Linked DNA regions of Saccharomyces cerevisiae S288C. Changing the gene in region 1 together with any one later gene gives a genetic interaction. Each region holds a gene or a part of one and is shown in the gene's direction. Other genes may lie near its edges. The genes, in order: DAL80 and SIP3.

Region 1 (3,203 bases):
TTCAGTAGTCTCAAATACCTTTCTAGCCTCAAATGTATCGGTTGGGAGAAATCGTCAGGTTCGTCAATTAAGTCTTGTAAATGTTTCATTTTGACGTTATCTATATTAAACTCAGATATTTCAGAAGATGATAAAGTTTCTAACGATGTAATGTTGCTGCCATTATCGTTATTGTTATTTTCCGATGTATGAGGAGCTGAGGCTGCAGAGGATGGTTTATTTTCTGCTTTTTTCTCCATTACATTTCTTTCTTTAACCATTTCTTTATAATGGGGGAAATGCGGAAGTTGTAACGAATGATATCTGTTGTTATCACTATAAAGCTTGCTTATAGTGAGTTGTTGGAACGCGACGATTTTCAATTTGTGATGTAGTGATTTGATATCTTTATAACTTCTTATAATAGACCATTTGAGCCTGTCTTCATCAATCCCATATTCCAAGTGTATTCTAAATAAAGAGTTTTCGTTCCTGCTATACATAAATTCCGCCACATTCGAAGAAATGCTTATAATGCTGGAGCTCCTTGGAATAGAGGGTCTCCTATCAGAATTCTCGCCAGTATTGTTGTTGTTGTTACCACGATGGTTATGGTTGCTATTGGTAATATCCAAAATGTTGTTGTCATTTTTCAAGGGAGACACTCTTACATCTAGTTTAGCTAATAGCAGAGGAGCCCTTCTCTTCCCATGTTCGTCTCTCAGAAATTGCGTGCTTGCGAACAATGAGGCCGGGCATCCTGCCAATAACGAATCTAATAAATCAGAGGCTAGTCTTTGTGTGTACAAATCTTCTTCGTTTACTTGTTGATGCTGGTGCTGGTTATGACGATGGCCGCTTCCAGCCGGTGTAGGAGAATTTACGCTGGATTTCAGTCTACCAATAGCAGAGATTTTCTTAAAAGCGTGGCCAAACTCTTTCTTCCAGCCATTGAACTGCTGTTGGGTGTAAGCTACAGAAGAAGAACGCCTTTGAGGGGCTCTTTCTTCCTCTCTTTTAGAATTCCGCTTAGAATGAACATTATTGTTACTGCTATGGAGATTGTTGTAGAGCCGGTGCATATTTTCCTCATCAGAACCTCGACGAGGATCATGTTCATTAGAGTGCATAATATGGTCTAATGAGTGGTTCGGTGACACATCACTCAGGTTTCTATCTACAAAGGATTTGGGCAATGCATGCTTCCTCTCCGCCTCCTTGCCGTTGGGAGTTCTTCGTTTTTCTCTTTGTAAACTGCTAGTCAGATTGCCATTCTCAGGTAATTGCCGCAATACTTCTTGGTTTTCTAACTCATCTGGTCTCGAATTTACTCTATCTACTTCTTCAGTCACCGATCTATCTGCCTGAGGTGGAGCGAAGTGAGTTCCAGACGCTGTTGACACGTTAGACATCACCCTTGTTTATCTATCCTACCTTTTCTTCTTGCGTACGTGCCTCTCAATGCGTCGTGTGAATTATCAGTGACCGGTCGTGCCTATAATGTCCTGCTAATTTCCCACTAAATCTTTCCCCATGGCGTATTCATCGTTATGTTTGTGTCTTTTGTTCAACCCAAAGGGCTGTAGCAATCTTCACCCGTTTGTCGTTGATAACGAGTTTCCACCTTATCACTTATCACTAGTGCTAATCAAACAGCAAAGAATGCTTGATAGAAACCGATCCTGGGCTTATCTCGCTGCATTGTGGCGGCATCCCTGGACTGTAATCAGCAAGTGTTGCTTAGTATATATATACATCCAGCGTCAGCTTGAATTTGGATACAGTTACTGTTTTTTCGATTTTCTCTTGGTTATTCTTTCTGAGACAGTAGTAATTTTGTATTACTGAGCGGGATATTGTTTATCTGCCGTCATACTATATTACATTATATTATATCATATTATATATAAGAGAATGGTGCTTAGTGATTCGTTGAAGCTGCCCTCGCCTACACTTTCAGCTGCTGCTGGAGTGGATGATTGTGACGGAGAGGACCACCCCACGTGCCAGAATTGTTTCACTGTCAAAACGCCCCTATGGAGAAGAGATGAACACGGTACTGTTCTCTGTAATGCATGTGGCCTCTTCCTGAAGTTGCACGGGGAACCAAGGCCTATCAGCTTGAAGACGGACACCATTAAGTCAAGAAATAGGAAAAAGCTGAATAACAACAATGTGAACACTAATGCCAATACCCATTCTAACGACCCAAATAAAATATTCAAGAGAAAGAAGAGACTGCTTACAACTGGTGGTGGTTCATTACCTACGAATAATCCGAAGGTTTCTATTCTGGAAAAGTTTATGGTGAGCGGGTCCATTAAGCCACTGTTAAAACCAAAGGAAACCGTTCCCAACACAAAGGAGTGCTCCACGCAGCGGGGAAAATTTTCTTTGGACCCCTGCGAACCTAGTGGGAAAAACTACCTCTATCAGATCAACGGTTCAGATATATACACGTCAAATATAGAGCTGACAAGGCTGCCTAATTTGTCAACATTATTAGAACCCTCACCTTTTTCAGATTCCGCTGTACCAGAAATAGAACTAACTTGGAAGCTACATAATGAGGAGGAGGTAATCAAATTGAAGACCAAGATAAGCGAATTGGAGTTGGTGACAGACCTATACAAAAAGCACATATTCCAACTGAACGAAAAATGCAAGCAACTGGAAGTGGAACTACACTCCAGAGCTTCAGTACAATCTCACCCACAACATTAAGAAAGGATGTAGCGTTCATGACAGTATAAATATAACAGGATATAGTATATAAAATTTAATATGATTTAGTGACACTTATTTTTACGCGAACGGGTAACACACTGCCATTTATCTGGTGCTGGAAAATTGCCCCTAAAGAAATGATAAGAATGAAAACGAATCAATGTGAAAGCAGTTTGATGAGATGTGAGCTACTTTGAAAGTATAGGAAGTCAGACATCGCACTGAGAAATGTCACGTAATTCTGCAGCAGGTTTGGAAAACACTCTTTTCCAACTAAAGTTTACATCAAAACAATTACAAAAGCAAGCCAATAAAGCCTCAAAGGAAGAAAAACAGGAAACTAATAAGCTCAAACGTGCTCTTAATGAAAATGAAGATATATCTCGTATATATGCATCCAATGCTATAAGAAAGAAAAATGAAAGATTACAACTGTTGAAGTTGGCATCACGGGTGGATTCGGTCGCATCAAGGGTACAAACCGCCGTCACGATGAG
Region 2 (3,934 bases), on another chromosome or scaffold:
TCTAATGGCCTTAATTAATGGGATAGACCTGCGTATTTCTTCTTCCTCAGACGCCTGAATAGAGTTAGGCCTGGTAGAACACCCTCCAACGTCGATGATGACGCTCTCATGCAAATATAATGCGTCTTTACACAATTTAATGATATCATTCAATTGACTTTCAATGTCCGCAAAATGCTCACCTCCATCGGAAAATGAATCTGGTGTAGCGTTGAAGATAGCCATGATATATGTAGGTGAAACAGTAATTCTGTTTGTTTCTCCAGTAAATTCGTCAAGTTTTGTAGCGGTCTTGAATTTCAAAAATCTAGGCTCCACACCACTACGATAAGGCAATGGAACTAATTTCCATAAGGTATCTTCATCATGCTGTTTGTCGTATAACTGTTTTAAATGGTCTACAATGGGTTCCGCTGTCACAGGATGAAGGTGAACGGGGGATATTAATTCACATAACGGCTCAAGAACGAAAGTCCTCTCCAGCATTCTAGGATGCGGTATATTCAAATCCGGTTCATTTACTATAATATCTTCTCCGGCGCTATTCAAAAACATAACAATATCCAGATCTATTGTTCTCGGACCATTATCAAAATGCTTGACTCTTTGCAACTCTTCATATTCAATTTTTTTACACAATTTTAATAATTCGCTTGGGGTCAGTAATGTCTCCACCTCAACACACCCATTCATGAAAGGGGTTTGATCTTTGAAATACATTGGTTCACTTTCAAAAATAGACGAAATATTCCGTAATTTAACCGTTTTTTCCCTTGATAATAATTGCAACGCCATTTGAATGTGTTTGAAACGGTCCCCAATGTTTGAACCAAACGCTAAAAACGCTCTTTTCCATGTATTTTTACCCTCAATAGGAGTGTTTTGTGATGAAGACAATTGGAACTTAATATCAGACGATTCATGTATGGAGGAAAGATATGGAATATTTACCATCGCAATCTCCCTGGGCTCTCTAATACAGCTTACACCAACACCTTCTGTGGCTGTGATTGCGTTTAATTTCAAAACCTTCACCACCAAAGGCGAATCTGGAAACTTTTGAAAATACTCGTTATGGGCAATAACAGCTGACACAGATTCTACAAGAGCTTCCACAGTCTTGAAATTTGATTCCTCCACAAACTTGACAACGTTATCAATTATGCTTTGCACTGGCGGTGGCAATTCGGCTTTCTTTGGCCAAGGCAACTTTATATCCAAAGTTACATACTGTTTCTTAAGTCTCTCAAAGGTGAAAACACCAATCAAAGTCAACATTTTTAACTCAGATATCCTAACAACGTCAAATTCCTGTGATTCTGGATTCCCTCTTTCTTGTTGAATAATACAAGATATGTGGTCACTTCTAATATGCGTTGTATCCGCCTGCACTTCTAAATTCAGACACTCGACACCAGAATATTTGTCCATAACAAATTGAGACACAGATTTAGCCAAATTAGAAACAGAACCCCAATTCTTTTTTTTGCTGACGAAATTCGTCAAATCACGAGAAATAACTGCATAATTTAGAGAATATTTCAAATCATCCGTAGCCGCAGATTTACTAAAATCTGTACCCATATCTAAGCTTAGTAGACATTTCTGAGGCATTAATTGATTCCAGGAATCAGGCCCAAGAACTGTATTCATCTCTAGTTTCTTAATGTGCACATAATCTCTCATGCCGCCTAGTGGTACACTATGTCTTGCAGAATTGACAGTAGAAAATAGCTTTGACATAGCCAAAGGCAAAGATTGAAACTTGTTAATCAAAGAAGACGCTATCACTTTTACTAATTTTGCATTTACTAAAGGAAAAAACCTTGTTCTTCTGTTTTCGATGACCTTGCAATTTATCATAAGTTTTTCAAATTTTCCTTTTATTATGAATTTGCGCAACGACACCAGCGCTATTGCTAATGCGTTCAAAACAGGGAAAGTACACGTGAAATTTTAAACTACTAGGTGTAACTAAAACATAGCTGCATGAGTAGACCTGTTGATCAATTGACATATTGCAGAGATATATCATTACTTGAAATATGTCCGTTCACGGGAGGGATCCCAAAAAGAGGCAGTTAAGGCTAATATCGGTTGCATTCAAAGAAGCATCAATTGACTCTCCTTCCTTTCGTGCATCCGTAAATTTCTTCCAAACAAGGGTGGATGCATTAGAGGATTGGATAGAGAAGACTGTCGACTTTTTCGATCAGAAATATAAGGTGTCATTTGAAGATTTTCGAAGAGCAAAGGAAACTCTCCTATCCCAATTGTTACCTCCTCCAGCCTTGCTGAGCAACGGTTTTGTCAGTAACCAATCGTTTACTCCCAGGCTGATTGATAGTTTTAACAAGGACTATTATGACTTTTCTATGAAATTACTGCAAATTGTAAAGGGTGATGACTCTAGCCACTCAACCGCGCTATTAGAACTTATGACTACTGCAATTGAACCCTACAGAAACGTGAGAAAAAATTTCGATTTTTACCAAGGTAAATATGACAGTATGCTGGCATCCTACCAGGCTATAAGAATTTCAAAAACCAGTTTAGAGCCATCTTCTATCAAAAGTGATGCCTTACAATTATTTGAAGTGCAAAAAAACTACCTTAAGGCCTCCCTAGACCTCATAAGTGCCATATCAGCAGTAAAATTAAGCTTAGATAAATTCATACTAGAGTCAATGAAAGTATTAAAGTCAAGAAGCATTTTTATAACGAAAGATTCTGGAAGGAAAATAGATTTATCTCCTTGCATTAATGAGTATTTAGACAATTACGCAATATGGGTAGAAAATTCCATCGAAGGATCGAAAGTATTGGATTCTGATATCAGTAATGCAAAAAAGCAAGCATATAGGTATACCTTGAAACGAATTACGCCGTCAAGTGACACAAGTGATTACAATATAAGATCAATACATTCCTCGAAGCTGCTATCAAAGGATACGCAAGTGCCTCCAAAATCGCCCGAAAAGTCTGGGTGGCTTTATATGAAAACACAGGTTGGAAAGCCTACCAGGGAAATATGGGTGAGAAGATGGTGCTTTCTGAAAAATGCAGTTTTTGGTATGTTCCTTTTGTCGCCATCGAAGACCTACGTGGAGGAAACTGATAAGTTTGGTGTCTTCCTTACTAATGTGCGCTATGACCCAGAGGAAGATCGAAAATTTTGTTTTGAAGTAAAAATATTTGGTAATAAAGTAACAGAGGCACATGATAACATGTCAAAGGATATCACGTTGGTCTTTCAAACTTCAAATTATCTAGATTTGAAATCATGGTTAATAGCTTTTGAAGCGACAAAAAAGTATGTCATGAGTATACAACATGATAGTCTTGAATATGAGCTGGCGTTTAAAAGATTTTCTCCCAAGTTTTTTGAATTTGCCTCTAGTACAACCACCTCCATAGATCAATTAATCACAACATTTGACAAAGAAACCGAGTCCTTGTATGAAACGCTGAACTGCTCAATCTCTGAATATGATATTTTGACTTTAGGAGAGGAGAAGGTGTTTCAGTTCCAAATGCCAACAACACCAATATCTACAAAAATGACACAACTGGCTATTCTGTCTAATTTCCTCACAAAAGGTAGCTGGTTCCCTAATGCTGTTCTTGCGAATATATGGGGCACGACCGATTGGAGTGAATATACTATATTGCCAGGAAAGGGAAAGAAACCCTCCTCTTTATTAACGATCGATGGCAAAAGGCTTCCAATAAGAAACTCCACTATATATCCTCAATATTATTCTAATGAGTTGAAAGTGCTTGATCTACAGTTCAAGTCATTAGTATTTTCTCCGGACCAAAGGTTGGAGAAGCTACCGGAAGAGCTTTTACTTTTCAAGTTTGAAGCATTGTGGTGTCCTAACAAAAAGCAGAAGTTCTCAGCTACCTGCTTTTGCACAAAAGACTACATTTA

The links.
Region 2: mutations in DAL80 (region 1) and SIP3 together harm fitness more than expected from each alone (negative genetic interaction), as found in Saccharomyces cerevisiae (one large-scale study listed by BioGRID).

The regions. Positions count from the first base shown.
Region 1 is NC_001143.9:505,005-508,207, forward strand, and holds DAL80 (Dal80p), read left to right. Parts: upstream 1-1,893; coding exon 1,894-2,703; downstream 2,704-3,203. Other genes in the region: SPO14 (phospholipase D), read right to left, coding at 1-1,391; YKR032W (uncharacterized protein), read left to right, coding at 1,513-1,827; DID2 (Did2p), read left to right, coding at 2,935-3,203. UniProt on the Saccharomyces cerevisiae protein: Negative regulator of multiple nitrogen catabolic genes including the allantoin pathway genes.
Region 2 is NC_001146.8:162,432-166,365, reverse strand, and holds the start of SIP3 (Sip3p), read left to right. Parts: upstream 1-2,045; coding exon 2,046-3,934. Other genes in the region: trifunctional dihydropteroate synthetase/dihydrohydroxymethylpterin pyrophosphokinase/dihydroneopterin aldolase FOL1, read right to left, coding at 1-1,743. UniProt on the Saccharomyces cerevisiae protein: May be involved in sterol transfer between intracellular membranes.